Linked DNA regions of Caenorhabditis elegans. The protein of the gene in region 2 purifies or fractionates together with the protein of the main gene of each other region. This does not show direct contact. Each region holds a gene or a part of one and is shown on either strand. Other genes may lie near its edges.

Region 1 (8,192 bases), on a different chromosome or scaffold from region 2:
GGCTATACAAGAAAGTGTGTATGTTTCCAGAAATGCAACCCTTTTCGTGTATGCACTCTTTTTTAAACTTCGAGGTAGTGGTCTTGTTTGTTTCTGCCTGTGTGTGTGTGTGTGTGTGTGTGTGTGTGTGTGTGTGTGTGTGTGTGTGATGAGCTCCATAACAACTTATAGCACGTTTTATATTCACGCTTGATTGGTACTGAAAGCCAAAACATCTTTTCACGCCTGAATGGTACGGAACGCAACAATAACGGTAATGAGGAAAACATGCCAAATACGAAGAATCTAATTATAATTAAACTATAGTGTCGACAATCGGATTTCTCATAAAATCAAGTGAGAAAATTTGGTCAAATTCTGCATATACTATGCAGTAAAGACCGCCGACGGGAACCTTTTCTCGGAAATTTAAACGAATGCTGACGTTTGTCTGTCGCACCAACTCAAATAGTGAAGTGTCCTGAGCAACGGGACTCAATTCAAAACCAAAAATCGTATATCCGCCTTCTTTAAACATTTGGGTGCTAATAGAATTACATGTGGAATTGCTTCGCGAGTGACCGAGGGTTTCTTGAAGTTGAATGTATGCCTCCATAAACTTGTTTCTGTCAAAATCTAAGGCAAAAGGGCGGCCGGGGAGTGTCATTCCACAATAATCAACATGTATATCAGATATACCATGTGGTTTGAAATTGAATGGTGATTTATCATAAGAGCCATTGTACGCGTCAGAATCAACAAGACCAATGAAAATTCGACGGGGCATCTTGCTTGTGAAGAGTGTGTTAGCCGGCGCGTCAAGACGTCCAGACTCTATATAGAAACTGCGCACCTGTGAAGATATTAGAGGATATTGGATTATTTTGTGCTCAATAATGGAGCTCTCTAGAGCATTAGATAGACCGTCGGCAAGATCGAATTCGTTAACCAGAGCGTAAACGTCGGTTATTTTGAACTGAAACTCTGTGTTGTTGTCGCGATTGTAAACCTCAATCAAAAATTTACTATCATTTGGGTAAACTGTAAGTTTCACATTACAACCGTTCAAGAGCACTCGCGGCTGATTCATCAAGTCAATCGAAATGTTTGCCGCAACTTGTATTTCGTCCTGGTTGTAAATTGAGGCACAACGCTGTTGAAACCCAGGACTACGGTGGTCGCCAATCACAGGGTCATGATAGAAACCGGCCGCGGTTAGAGTGGAGTTTTGAATTTCCTTCCCGTACATTAAAACGTGTTCAAAATAGCTCTTGTACGCATAGTTTGACGAGTTGTGAAAAGCTAATTGTGAATTAATGTGTAGTGTGAAATTTCAGATCGACTAGTTTTCCGGTCACAACTCGGATCCCCGTTTTCAATGCACAACTTTACGATCCACACATTTCAACGTTTTATACACTAATTAATGCCAGAAACTTATTCGCAACATTGGCACACATGAAGCAATAATTAATAGGCACACACGGTTTTCAGTGAAATTCCTCAATTATTCTAAAACGGGGGACCAACCGAGAAATTTGCAAAAATGCGCAACTTTAAGTCTTTTGCACAACTATTCCCACTATACTACTAACTTACTCTAATTGCTTGATGTTTAAGCAATAAAATAACAGAAAAATAACATAGTATGATATATTGCATAAAAGAAGATAGGACCGCCACCAAGCAGTCGAAGAAGGCAGAATGAGTGATTTCTTCTTCAGAAAATGGGCGGGTTTGTGGCTTCTCTGACTCTCTCAAAAGCTCAGAATGTGTGACGTTAGAGCTAGAGATTATTGAAATGTAGGAGGTTTTGAGAGATTAGCAAAAAAGGAAAAAAGGATTAGAAATGTTTTCAAGCTCTTCTTTATGCCAAGATCATGAAACGAAAGACTTGTTTGAGAAGAGGGAAATAAGATTATGAAATTATGAAAAAAGATGGAAAATAAATAGTTTTAATTGTATTTCAATCATGCTTCAATTGGCCAACTCTTGTGTTCAAATTTAAATTAAACAAAAAAATTATTATGCTGTTTCACGAATACTATATGAACAGAGGCATTTTCTCTGTTTTGATATTGAAACTTCAGCTGAAAAAAAGATCTCGTAAAAACAGTCTTGATCATGAATTAAACTAATCTCTTCTTGTTAATGTTAGTAATGATAGAAAAATATTGCCTGAACTTTGTGGTTCCACTTATTTTAACTTATAAAATAGTGAAACGCATCTAGTAATTCGAAGAAAAAGCAAACTCTCTATTGAGGTTTTCAACAAAATCACAAAGTTGGCAATCACATTTTTTTCCAAATTCCACAAAATTGATGAGTAGGTTTTATCGGACACCTAATATAATTGCTCAAGTCAGAGCAAACCTATTATTATTATCAGTAATTTCAAGTTTTGGTAGTTCAGCCAAAATTGATTTCGGGAAAACTATGAAACCGCTAAAAATGTTTACATCAAAGTCTAAACTGCAAAAATGTTGGAAAATATTGTAAAAGTATGAAATATTGAAGTTAAAGTGCTAATAATTTTTAATTTAATTTTAATTTAATTTAATTTTTATTTTGACCAGTACGCTCCTGGAAATGTGTTACCCCCACTTTCGCCAAAACTGTATTTAGAAATTTTTTAGCGTATTTTTATTTAAAAACATGTTTTACACTTATGGAAATAATACTAAATTTTTTATTATCCACTACGTTGTTTTAAACTATTTACTTGTCCACATTCTCTCTCCGAGCCCACTTTAAAACAAGGAAACATGAATTTTCTGTAAAATTTCAGTTAATTTCCTCTGACCCTTTTTACAAACACCAGCTAATTACAATCTACTACGATAATTTTAAAAGACCATTCCTCCCCCTATTTATACAATACCACCACGCTGTAGTCAGACTGTCTTCGATCTCTGCGTCTCTCAATTACTTTCTATTTTCTTTGTTTTTGATAAGACTACACTCTTCCTACCCAGTACATATGCAATTGCTTTTGTCTTAATTTTGTTCAGTTTATTTTAACATATATTCTGCTGAAAATAAAATGAATCTTTTGAATTTAAAGGATTTATTTAGTAAATTTTTCAGTTTCAGATCAAAAATGAGTGCTCCTTTAATTGACAAATACCGGAAAATGGCAACTTTCGACTGGAAAAAATTGAAAGCAGCCGTTGAAGGAGAAGAACATGTTAGACTGAAGGTATAGTAGATTTTGGATTTATAAAATATTTATATATATTTCAGTCAGAAGTAGTTGCTAAAATGAAGTCAGAACCAGTATTTCACAGAGATTATCGAGTATTGAGTAGAGAAGAGCAAAGAGAAGTTGTTCATCAGAGATGGAAGAAAATTGTCGAATGGGGGTTGTTCAAAGATGTATTTCTTATTAAATTGTAGATTTTCAATATATTCGAATATTCAGCCGTACTCCGATCTTGAAAACTTCCATGCATTGACTGAAACTCTTGAAGCTTATGATCAAGGCACATCTGCAAGGCTTTTCCTCCACGGAAATGTTTTTGGAGCAGCTGTTAAGTCAATGGGAACAGATAGACATAAGGATTTGATTCAGAAAACTGAAAACAATGAGGTGAATTTCAAAGAAAATAGCATACAAAATTAAGAAGTACTCAAGAAAAAGAAAAATCAAAACAAATTTGAAAATAATTTATTCTAAAGAAATTTAAACAAAAGCGCATTGTATTCAAATCTGGAAAGTTTAGGTTTCCTTGCAAAATAGCAAATTTCAGATCGTCGGAGCATTTTGTCTGACAGAAGTAGGCCATGGTTCAAACACTGCTGAAATTCAAACAACAGCTACATTTGACAATGGAGAACTTGTTTTCAATACTCCAAGTGTCAGTGCAATCAAATGTTGGGCTGGAAATCTCGGTGGGTTTTAAAACATTTTTAATTTTAAATTTAAAAAAATCCATTTTTTTAGCTCACTCGGCCACTCACGTAGTTGTTTATGCTCAACTTCATGTCGAAGGAAAGAACGAGGGATTTCATGGATTTGTGATTCAAGTTCGTTGCCCTAGAACTTTCCAAACTCTACCAGGAATTACCATTGGAGACATGGGCTCGAAACCAGGATGCTGGCAGGGAGTAGAAAATGGCTGGATGGAGTTTAAGAACCATAGAGCTCCTCTGAGTGCACTTTTGAATAAGGGTTGTGATATTACTCCGGATGGAAAATATGTGACAAGTTTCAAATCTGCAAGTGAGAAGCAGAGTGTCAGTTTGGGAACATTGTCAGTTGGAAGGTATGTTTTCAATACTTTACGACGCCGGCCGTATAGAAAAATTTTTTAATTGAGTGAAATTTGTATCTAAAAGAATTTCTGTTAAAAAAATCAGGTTCTGAAGAATTTCTAGCCGCTGTTTTACCAACTTTTTAAATGTGTTGTTTTTTTCTCAGTTTTAGTAGATACAAGATGCAAATTTCACGGCCGAGCCTTATTATCAATAAAAGCAAAATCTCAAAACGAATCTATTCCAGCTTTAATCGATACTTTTAAAATATGAATTGATTTTCTAGAGTGAAGCCATTGTATTTAATACAAATAGAAATAATGGAAATGGCATTCTTAGGACAATTCGAAATTGTAAAAGCAGACGAATTCATAAAGTTGGGAAAACAGTGCAATCTATAAGTTTTTCCGATTGATTTTTTTCAAACAAAATACTGTTTCAAAATTCAAACTTTACCAACAATGGTTTCACAATAACACAAATTTCAGACTCGGAATTATCGCAAAAGGAATGATGGCTTGCACTTTTGCATCTACAATTGCTATTCGATACAGTGTTGCTCGGCGACAGTTTGGACCAGTAAAAGGCGGTGAGCACCATTCCTTTTCTCAATTTCTCAACTTTTGTATAATTCAGCTGAAAATGAGATCCCAGTTCTCGAGTATCCACTTCAACAGTATCGTCTATTCCCGTACCTATCCGCTGCAATTTGCATTAGAATATTCCAGAAGAAGTGGGAACTCTAAACAAATTGTTTTCAATAATTAGTTAAACTTTATAGGTTTGTCGGACATTTCACTGAATATATGATGAGAGTCATAATGGGAGAAAAGTCAGACGAGCTCTCCGAGTTCTCAAAAGAAGTACATGCATTGTCGTCTGGAGCTAAACCGGTTGCAACGTGGCTTGGTGTAGAATCCCTTGGAGAAGCTAGAAAAGCTTGTGGAGGTCATGGGTATGTTTCCTAACATAACCTGAAACTTAACTTTAAGAAACTCATTTTTTGAGAATTCGTCTTTCTATTTTTTCCAGATTAAAGTTAAAATTTAAATTACAGATACCTACAAATGTCACGATTGAACACCCTCCGAGATGACAACGATCCATCACAAACATTTGAAGGAGAAAACTTTATGATTTTGCAACAAACCAGCAATATTTTGCTAGGAAAAGTAAACTTAATTGTCAGATTCTTTAATCATATTGAGATTCTGATGTTCAGGCTCAATCAATTGGATCCATTGAGACCCCGATGTCTACTATGTCATTCTTGAATCAAAAACCTTCAAAGTTCTCATCATGGTCTTCGAATCCAGTTAATGACGTGTTGTCTGCGTACCGATATCTCACTTATCACTTACTTCAAACAACTTCGGCAGAAGCTTACAGACTAAAAGCATCTGGAAAGAATTCATTCGAAGTTCGAAATGAAATTCAAATTCATAGAGCTGTCAATTTGTCTGTTGCATACACAGAACATACAATGATCCATTGGGTTCAACAGTTCTTGAAAGAAATTGAAGATCAAAGTGTGAAGCCGGTTCTTCAAAAAGTTTTGAATCTTTTCTCACTTTTCCTTTTGGAAAGACATCTTGCAACTCTTTATATTACTGGATATGCTTCTGGTGGAAAGTTTGGAGAAGATCTTCGAGAGAAGCTTAGACTCGCTGTAGCCGAATTAAAACCCGAGGCCATTGCTTTAGTGGACTCGATTGCTCCAGATGATTTCATTTTACATTCAGCTCTGGGAGCATCTGATGGAAAGTCAGTTTTAAAATGTAAAGGTTTCTGCTGAACTTTAAATTTGATTTTCAGAGCGTACGAGCATATAATGGAAGAATTCCGGAAGTATACAAATGAACAACCAAGATGGGTTTGCGATTTGGCTCAGTTTTTGCAAAAGAGATCACAAGGATCCAAGCTATAATATTTCACAAACTGTATATTTCCCAATAAATCCAGTTTTTGAATAAATTCAAAATATACAAACAATTTCAAATTTCTTTGAAAGCTAAAATTTTTGCAAAAAATAAAAATCTAAACGTATAAGCAAAGTTTTCAGATTTATACATATCGTCGACGTGAAACGGCAAAATTTTTTAAATGTTTAATTGAAAAAATTTATTAAAACTTTGGTACCCGGATGTCAGGAAATGCTTAAAAGGCTTCTAACACTGGAAAATAGTTTCTCATTTAGAACCAAAACGATAATGTTGCGTTAGTTTAAATGAATTTATATGATTAATGTGAAACGGGGAAAATTTAAAATAGTGATAGCGCCCACGGGGAAAATGTTTAAAACTATTTATTAAGTGCCAAAAATCATTGTAGAACTTTCACAATGTATTTATAAAATAATATTTATATGAAATAACACCAAAATTTAATTTATTTCCACGCCAATTTCTAATTTTACTTTAAAAACTGTTCTCACAATATTATTGTATCAATGTTGTCGCGAAGTCGATGAATACAAAGATTAACTCGCTCACGACTTTTATTTTTAATTTCTATTCTCCACGTGATAAAGAATCCATTTCACATATCTGGAGAATTTATAAATTTATCAACTCTCATTAATTTGCTAATTGGCTTGAAAGGGTTGTGCATCAAAAAGGTCTTCCGTTTGAAATTCTTCGCACGATGACAAATAATTTCAAAAATACAATTTTCAAAACTTAAAGTTTTTCAGAACTCGTCCGTCTGATTCTCCAATGTCAACTTTGTATTGCGTGCGAATAACTTCAGGAAACTCTACAAAGGCTCAGAAAGGCTGTAAAAGCTCGAACACAACTGAAGCTCCGTATACCAATGTTGCGTGATTTCAAAAAAGTGTTATACCATCAATGGGAAACGGTAAAAAGTTTTTTTTAATTTGTAGGTGCAAAATGCTTTGAAAATTTTTTGTTTCGAGATTTTAAAAATAGAATAACACAAATTTTTATCAAATTTCAAACAATAATCATTTGATACCATCCGTTAATATAATCTCCATTGTAATCATATTTCCAGTATAAAGAACCCATTTCACATGTGAAACTGATTGAAAGTTTTTCTAACCCTGATTCAATTGATGTCATTGCTCTACACGGACAAGTTGTTGTAGATTCAGTATTATTTCCTGTACAATTACAACCAGCACTTTCTGATAAACATCTTCGCGTTCTAATCCACATTGTATCGCCATCATTTCTTCCGTAACTGGAAAAAGAGCTCCAAATTCCTCCAATTGGACAACAATTATATGTTGAGTTAGAAACAGATGCAGCAGTTTCAGCGGCTGTTGTTAGTGGTCCACATTGAGTTGTTCCGTTCAGAACCATTGAGACATATGGAATACAACAAGTACGTTGAGCTGGATATGAACATGGTTATGTGTTGCACGGATAGTAGCGAGTTGCATTTCCACTGAAAAGAAATATTCTGATGTACATAAATAATGGTAGGAAAGTTTTTTCATCCTTGATTTTTTGCATTTTCTACAAGAATTTTTGGAGTGGAATTTTTTTTGAAATTTCACAAGTTATAGAAAACTACTCAAATGAAGTGTTTTGCAAGGTATTTTTTTCAGGTTTGGTTACACATCGATGCTCAATAATTGGGGAGAAATTGTGTTCCACCCTTAATGATACTATTCCTGGTGAATGGCGTGAGCAAATCTAATTTTGGAAGTTTCCAAGCATATCATACCTGTCACAAGGACAACTTATTTCCTCTGAAACGCAGGATAAGTTTTAGCACAAGAACCACAACTCGCTGAGCATTCGACACCTTCTGCATCAGCCCATTCACTCCATAAACCACCAGTTGGACAAGTCACGTTGATGGAACATGTCTTCAATTTTTAATTATTAAAAACTAAAAAAAATCTTTAAAAAACTCACAGAGCGATCTGCTCGACAAATTCCAGCAAGGAATGCCACCAAAATAAACACATGCCACATTTTGATCGTATTTAG
Region 2 (8,556 bases):
AGATCGGAGTCATGAGCATATTTTAAGTAAAAAAACCCCTTTATTTAAAATATTTTGAATTCCAAAGTCTACTGGCAAAATACTTTTTATAATTAGTTTAACACATTCAAGTAATGTTCACATTTCCACAAATTCCTTGTTGGTTGAAAAAGTTCAAACATTTAATACTGTAACTTATTAATGCACCAAAGTAGAAATTGCATGTAAATCAGATAACGGAACATTTCCACCCTATCTGTAGCATGCGTTGCAAACTATTTGTTACCTCTTCAATTGTACGTGTAATTTTTTGATCGTTTGATTTTGATGATAATTTTCAGATGGTTGGGCAGAAAAACTTCCTTGTTGAGGATTTACGTGAAACTCAAAAAATCCATATTGTAAATGGTATACGGTACGACACGCTAGTCGTGATAGTAAATTCTAAAAATGCGGTTTTTCGATTGTTTATTTCAAGTGTTAATAGGTAATTGCAATTTTTTCAGTATGAAAACAATTAGTGATGTGCGCATAATATTTCAGAAGGCGTATTGTACAGATCTATATTGAGGGCAGGGCAACTTGCTTGAATGTCAAAATTTGTGCACGCACTGTGACCAATTGCATGTTGCAGTAAGTGTACTATTTTCGGTTTTCTTGGCGATGTGTGAATTGTGCGTTTACAGCAAATGTGTAATTATTTAGAGTGAGGAATAATGGCTCAATTTTTTTCAAGAGTTAACAATTAAATAAAAAATCATTCACCGGATTTTTCATAACAAAATACGTTAAAAATCTGAAAATTTCGAAAACTTTTAAGAAAACTTTAAAAAAAAACAAAAAAAAACTAGACAGTATATTGAAAATATAAATTTTTATGTACTATGTAATTAACAGGCGGAAAAATTACGGCAATTGTTCACATAACAATTTTTGAAAAAAAAGTCATTCAATGAAGTATGTTTGAACACCTCCGGTTCTGCAACAACCATCTTAGTCTTCCTAAATTCTTATATAATTTTAACAGTGCAGAGTTGAAGCAAACTTTATGAGCACAAATACTTGTTTTCTGAAAGTATTAAAAAAATATTCTAGCTTCAGATAAGTTTTCTAATTTTCTAGATAACATGTCGAACAAATCTTACAATTTTTAGACGTTTGTAAAATCATTCTTGATTAATGATCGGTTATTACTCTTGGTTTCTTTTTGTCGTTGATTCGCTGAAAAAATTACAGTAACATTTTCTGCTCGACGCCCAATTTCACATGTGCAAAAAAACTAATTGATCAGAGGTCGGTGAATTCTGCAAATGATGGACGTCAAGATAAGACAAAAAACGATCAGAATTCAGCAACGTTTGAAATTGTACATATTTGGTAATGAATTTGGAGACCATATTTTTCATGCTGAAGTTGAAAATTCATTTTGAGAGAAACTTACTAAGCCGGAATCCAATAATGAAAAGTACTTCAGATTTGTGAAAAATGGGTAAGATTGTCAAAATTCAAACAACACAGATACACACAACACAGAAAATTCAACACAGAAAATTCAAATTCAATATTTTTTCAATTTTAATATCTTGAAACTAAACCTACTAAAACATCCTACACATTACAGCATTTGTTTTCCAAAATCAGCAAAAATTATATGAGGTAATTCGGGTTATTACTTTATGAGGGATAAAATGACCCAAAATGCAAATGTTCGTAATAAGACGTATAAAATTTTTTTCAATTTTTTTTCAGCGAAAGTATTGAATTTTAAAATATGTTGATGTGACAAAAGTTAAGAGAACATGTTCATTAAATTGAAAATTATTTTCGGCGAGCCATTGCCAACCCAAGCATTTTTAACGCATACAACTTTTTTTCTGAAATTTTGTTTCTTCGAAACATAGAACCGTTTTGAAAATTTTCATATGCATATTTCTAATTAGATGTGGCTAATTTCTTATTGGATGTGGATAATTTCTAATTAGATAAAAAATGGGGTTGTCTGAGAATATTGAGTTTTGGTTTTTGAGGTTTTGGGACAAATTGAGCAAAAATTTCCACAGCCTCTGAAACTATATTAGTGAAATTAAATGGAGATCTTGTTAAGTAAATTACTTTGTTTATAGAATCGATTACATCCAGTAAACCCAGAAAAAATGTACACATCGTCAAAACATTGTGCTTTAGTTTTTTTTCAAAATTTTTGGAATCTAGGGTGCCGGTGATCAATAGTATTTCCTAAGCTAACGGTTACTAAAAAATTAGTCTTCCATGCAAGGTAATATCAAATAATAGAGTAATTTTCTCAGACCTCCTCAATTTTTTTTCCAGAAAAAATCACGTGTCGCAAACTTCCTTGTAATGAATATCAGATCGACTAGAAACCACAAGAAATGACGAAGAATACCGTTTCCGCGCTTCCTGCTCAACACGTGGGGACATCAACTGATAAGAATTAAATGGCCACGGGCAACGATCAGATCTTGATAAGGGATCATCTTCAGTTAGTTTCGGCAATTGAGTTGATACTTGTGCAAACATGTGGAGGAGAGTTTTCGGTGAGATAAAATCGTTTTTTTTGTAGATTTCTAACAGGAATTTTCAGTGTTTTCTTGCATTTTCTTATATGTTCTTGCTACTTTACCGGATTTCGGTATACCCGGATATAGCTGTGATGCAAATGTAATGAAAAAGAGTAAAAAAGTGCCAACAAATGTGAACTCCGTACGACCAGCAGATATCAAGCTGATCATGGCACTAGGAGATTCTCTGACGGTAGGTGGTCTTTTTTCTAGTCAGGTTAAGAATTTCAAATTAGGATAAGCTGTAAGGAGGTGGATGCTTGAGAATAACTTAGAAAGTGCAAAGAGTTCGAAAAAAGTTGTTCTTCAAAGTTGAAACAAGATACGTTCTGGAAATAGAAACACCTGGCGTAGATCATCTAAAAGAAAATTTTTTAACCAAGTCCCAACCAAATATTCTAGCTCGAGAAATATATGATTATAAAAGTTCAAATCCTTCTACTTACGTTCAAAATTTGTCTAATTTGCTCAAAATCGACTCTTATAAGTTGAAGAAAGTATTGTAGTGTTCCATACCATTCATATCATGAGAAAAAACACGGTCAATTTTTTAGAGTTTTTTTCAGATTCCCATAGCGTTTATAGCTAACAAAAAACGTTGCCACTTTTTCTTGGCCAACCTTCTTCTGGCGGCTTGGTAGTTTTCAGGCAATTCCAAATTAGTATAGTTTACTAATTTTTTTAGTTTACTCGTACTTTACATACTTAATTACTCAATTTCATGGGCACTTTTCCTGAAAATGGAATCAATATTTAGGCCGCAAATGGAGCTGGTGCCGAGGATCCGGTAGCAGTCGTTCTGCAATATCGTGGTCTTGCATTCCAAGCCGGAGGTGACAAGACATTAGAAGAACACGTCACTATTCCAAGTAATTGGCATTTTTTTAATTTTCCAAAAATTTGCTAATCTATTCCAGATATTCTCAAAAAATACAATCCAGACGTGTTTGGATATTCTAATGGAATCGGGTCTCCAAATGTCTGGGAAATTGCTCGTCTCAATGTTGCCATGCCAGGAGCTAACGCGAAGGATCTTCCAGGACAGGCCCGGCAATTGGTACAACTTCTCCAGCAGCATACAGAGGTTGGTCAAGAGCTTTTTTGCTTTTCAGTCAAAAAAATTCCATTTAAGGTTGTAAACATGAAGGAGGATTGGAAGTTGTTGAACATTTTCATTGGAGGAAATGACATTTGTGGTTATTGCAGAAAACCAGTGGTGAGGTTATTAGGTTTTATTGATGATGGGTAGTAGGAATTATTTTCGATTAAATCTAGGGCTCCCATGTCGGCGCCACAAACGAATGCGCTAAACCCAAAAAGTGTCGGACGCGGAGCAAAATTTGCACCAAATATTGCCACACTCTATCGCACTATTTGCAGCAAACTTAGCTCCGCTGTCGACTCTTTTTGTGTTCCGCGCATTGCTATAAAAATTTCGGATCGGCGGTTTTTGATGCCGACATGGGAGCCCTAATTGGATCAGACGCAGATCAAATAAGATATGTCTTTATTGTGGATACCATAAAATTAAAAATTTCAATGCTCAAAGAGCAAAACATTTACGCCATTACATCATAAATGCTAATTTTGTAGCAGTCGTAATTCTGAGTTCTATACAGTTTGTTTCAACATATGATTGTCGATTATGCCGTTCTTGGTGTGTAAATCATACTTGTTTTATGATTTTGTTCTCAGGAATATCAATCAAAGGGGGCGTAGAGTTTGTGGTATTTAGGTTGAATAGACTAAAACTGATTCAAAATCGCCGAATTTCATAATGAGACTTCACAAAACATTTCCAAAATTTTTTTATGGCCGCTCAAAATTTCGAAAAAAAGAGCCAAATTTTGCCAATTTTGATCATTTTTGGATGCCTATCGGCCTAAAAGTTGTCTCAATCATCGAATATCCACGAGATAAATTACCAAAATAAAGATTAAAAAAGTGATAACTGCAGAAAAACTAAAATCCAGCAGCTGTGACAAAGAAAAGTGTGCGAAATTTCAGATTTTAGCCAAATTTGGCTCTTTTTTTCGAAATTTTGACTGCAAAAATTTTGAAATGTTTTTTTTTGGGAAAAGATAATATTCATTTTTGATCTAAAAAACGTAAGAATTATATCACACGTTGCATAAATAAGCAATTCATACTTCGAAATGCAATGCATATAAAATAACGTAAACGTAGCTTTAAGGCCCTAATCCTGTTGATTAGGTACTACTCTCTATCCCATCTAAATATTTGTTTCTAATTCCAGGAGGATTCCCCATACAACTGCGCGCAGGACATCAAACAAGCCGTGCAAATAATTTACGATAATGTTCCACGTGTCATTGTTTCCCTCACAGGAATGTTGCATCTCGAGATGCTGCGCCAAACTGATACCGGCCACTGGTTCTGTCAACGTTTGCATCAGTATGTTGCAAAACCCTATTTATTGACACAAAAATAATACATACCGTTTTTGCAGTGACGAGTGCGGCTGCGAGAGCAATAAGAACTTCACCGATGCTGATATCAGACAGGTGGGTGGGGAGTGGGATTTTAAGCTTCCAAAGCTTCGATAATTATTAAAAATAATTTAAACTTTTTATAAAGAGCTTGTTGCAGGCTTGCTATGATTATAACAAGTACGAAAAACAAATTGAGACCGACGGAACTTTTGAGAAAAACGACTTCACATATGTGGTTCAACCAATGTTCCAAGATACTTTGATTCCCCCAATGGAAGTGAGTGATCGATATTTGAATGTTTCGACACTTTTTTCGAAACTTTTCAAAACCATGACGTGATGCAAAAATTTTGTCATGCTTGCAAACATAGCAAAATACAAACATACAAACTGTTCAGAATGGAAAACCAACTCAAAAGTTCTTCGCACCGGATTGCTTCCATTTCTCACAATGGGGACATGCTCTTGTGAGCACTTATCTTTGGAATAACATTTTACAGCCAGTTGGCTCAAAATCTACAGTTTCAAACATGTCAGTGCCACTTCAGACATTGGCCTGCCCAGATGCGGTAAGTTCAGTTATCAAGGGAACCATCACATATGTATTAGTAAGGAAAAAAGGTTTTTGAAGGTCTAAACTTTTTTGATTGTTTTTTGCATCAAAGACGGATTTTTCCGAAGTTTTGAAAAATAACTAACCAGGCGTAATCCTACAGTACTGAGTGTTAGTTATGAAAAATAGTAGTAGTACACTCGGAGGTGGGTAACAAAAAGCAACATAAAATATTCTGTCAGAAAGTTGTCCACCGCAAACTTCGATTTATGTCGGCTGCAAATTCCACAACTGCGCGTGGTGTCAGGTTGTTCCATAAAGGTTTGATCTACAAAAAAATGCGGGAATTTTTTCCTCAAAAAATGTGACGTCAGCACGTTTTTAACTATGCAAAGTTAATTGAGGAGTCTGCTCCTAATATCCCGCACTTTTTGTAGATCACAACGAAATGCGACATTCTGACACCACGTGCAACTATAATGAGATAACATAGATCAAACCAAAATCTACAGGCCTAAGTTCACAGTATAAAGAAAAAACCATTATTTCTTTATTGGAACTTATCTTTAGCAGTTTGGAACTGAAAACAAAAATCTGGAATTTTGTTTTTTATTCCATAATACTACCTTATCTCAAATAGGAACATTTTTCAGGCTTGCCCCTTCATCCGAACACCTAAGAACAGCCAGGACTGTAGTCAATACATGACCCCTCATGCTTAATAATTTTATGATATATTTATATTCGATATGTGTGTTTGTATCAAAATTGTCTATATTCATATGAAAATTTTCGACTCGCTATGTTTTTTGATTTGCATAATACCCCCCTCGTTATCATATTTCGAATTTCATTATTGCGAAAGAGAGGCGAGTGTGTACAAAGTATGCCGAGGGCACAAGAAAATGGAAACCTTTTTTCAGGTGACACAAAATAATGTGCGCGCATTTGTCATCACCTCCCACCCCGTCCTAACAACATCACTCCTTTTTTTGTTGCTGTATAATAATAATAAGAATGCATTCTCATTCCACATTTTCTTTTTTTTCATTCTAGCTCAGATGGGCGGAACTAATAAAATTATTGAGCAAATAAGTGCTCTGGATGTGGGTGGCGGCTTAGACTTGTGTGCATTTTCTTTAAAGGATTACTTTTTCGAATTATTATTTTCCGATAATCTTATCCTCATTCTTCTTATATTATCAATTTTTTAGTGATTTATTTGACTTTCTTAGTTTAAGCTTTTTTTTTGTAGTTTTTTCTAAATATTTTGGGTGCCAATTCTTATAAATTATTGTACTCTGAATCATACATATTTAAGATTGATATCGCGTGTCAAAATTTTTCATTCTACTGTCTATCTCCTTGGATTTTATTTTTTCCCAAGTATTTAGAGAAATTTGAATTTCACACTCAAAAATATATTCATCAGTCTATTAATGTTTTGTTAGTTGATCAAATTTTGATCAGGAAAAAAATTAGATAGGATGAGTTGCAGTGTTTTGATCCTCGTTTCTAGCATAATTCGGCAATTAAGAAACCTATGATTTAGAAAGATTAGAAATAACTATAAGAGCATTTTAAAAAGATTTTCAAATTTCAAGATGGACTATCGTCAAAGGGGATTTGGTCAAAATGTGTTCATTATAGTTTAACATAACCAAATATCATACTAAAATAATCCAAAAATTTTTAGATTTCTCAAAGGTTTCGGTCTATATTTTAGTAAACTGACAGATAGATATGATATATGGTATCTGCCATATGGTATATGGTATATGGTAAATGGTATATACTATATGGCATATGGTATATGGTATATGATATATGGTATATGGTATATGGTATATGGTATACGGTATACGGTATATGGTACATGGTATATGGTATTTGGTAATATGGTTTTAAATAGTATATGGTAATGATATATGATAAGTGTAGACATATGGTAAAAATGAGTGTTTTTCCATTTTTTGACAATAAATAAAAAACTTTAAAACTTTTAATCATTTATTATGGTATTTGCCAACTTGCTTCGCTTTAAACATTTTTAAGAACATTAATTTAAAATGGAACAATTCTAAGTTGTAAAAAGTTCAAAATATTTGAATCTCAAACTCTACACCAGCTTGTGCCAAAGTTATTTTCAATATTTTAGTTGTTAAAATTTGAAATTTCGAATTTGCAAAGAACTCATCTAAATTTTTTATACACTAGAAATTTGAAAATTAACCACAAAGTACGACTGATCTAGAAATGGGGTGTGGGGTGGGATGGCTCAGTCGGTAGTGGTGGTCGCTAGCAATCTGGAGGTCACGAGTTCAAGCCCGGTCTCACCCCCATAGGTCCACCCAGTTTCTATTGAGAAGGGGAGCTATCCACGACTGGATTATTGGTCACAGTCCCCGCTTGGACGTGGCTTAAATCATGGTTCAGTAGGAGCACAACCATACAGTGTACCTGAATCACTGCTCCGCCGTGCATAGCGCTTGAAGAACAGTTCAACCTTTGATCCTGTAATCCTCAAAACCACGAAGTACGATCTGATCTGGCAACATGCCAATGCCGTGTTTGTTTTCCATAAACATTTCAGCCTTTAATAGGCTTGCACAATATTGCTCTCGAATTTGGTTTACTGTGTAGGCCTTCCACAAAGGCAAGGCGCGAAGAGAGCACATCACGCTTGCCCTACTCCCGCACGCCCGTGCGTCCGCACTGTGTACTGCGGCCGACGCTACGCGGGACCACCTCGCGCCATGGCTTGAGGGCGGCGGGAGTGTGGGGCGTGGTGTGGTGCAGGTGGGCAATAGTATTTAGCACCCTCGTGAAAGGCATATTACTGTGTGGGAACTTTGGTAATTTCCTGAATCTGCAGAGTGATTGGAACATATTCAAAGAGCCAGTGAAATCATAGAGAATATGTTTTCTCTGGCATGAAGGCAGGTTTTGGTTCATGCAAAGTTATGGGCCATTGAAAATATAGTCTTGCAGC

Evidence for each region. Proteins that work in one complex are often made in the same cells at the same time.
Region 1: the proteins of F09C8.1 (region 2) and acox-3 fractionate together in Caenorhabditis elegans (co-fractionation; one large-scale study listed by BioGRID). This does not show direct contact.

The regions. Positions count from the first base shown.
Region 1 is NC_003282.8:6,243,367-6,251,558, reverse strand, and holds acox-3 (Acyl-coenzyme A oxidase acox-3), read left to right. Parts: upstream 1-3,066; 5' UTR 3,067-3,079; coding exon 3,080-3,178; intron 3,179-3,222; coding exon 3,223-3,354; intron 3,355-3,400; coding exon 3,401-3,568; intron 3,569-3,728; coding exon 3,729-3,870; intron 3,871-3,922; coding exon 3,923-4,244; intron 4,245-4,405; exon of another isoform or gene 4,406-4,426; intron 4,427-4,555; exon of another isoform or gene 4,556-4,577; intron 4,578-4,721; coding exon 4,722-4,822; intron 4,823-4,869; coding exon 4,870-4,966; intron 4,967-5,014; coding exon 5,015-5,188; intron 5,189-5,290; coding exon 5,291-5,405; intron 5,406-5,455; coding exon 5,456-5,997; intron 5,998-6,048; coding exon 6,049-6,160; 3' UTR 6,161-6,201; downstream 6,202-8,192. UniProt on the Caenorhabditis elegans protein: Involved in the first step of peroxisomal beta-oxidation by catalyzing the desaturation of fatty acid-derived side chains of ascaroside pheromones, which regulates development and behavior.
Region 2 is NC_003284.9:16,157,457-16,166,012, reverse strand, and holds F09C8.1 (Triacylglycerol lipase), read left to right. Parts: upstream 1-2,488; 5' UTR 2,489-2,515; coding exon 2,516-2,534; intron 2,535-2,581; coding exon 2,582-2,751; intron 2,752-3,315; coding exon 3,316-3,427; intron 3,428-3,475; coding exon 3,476-3,642; intron 3,643-3,690; coding exon 3,691-3,774; intron 3,775-4,815; coding exon 4,816-4,973; intron 4,974-5,028; coding exon 5,029-5,083; intron 5,084-5,168; coding exon 5,169-5,288; intron 5,289-5,409; coding exon 5,410-5,580; intron 5,581-6,217; coding exon 6,218-6,286; 3' UTR 6,287-6,365; downstream 6,366-8,556.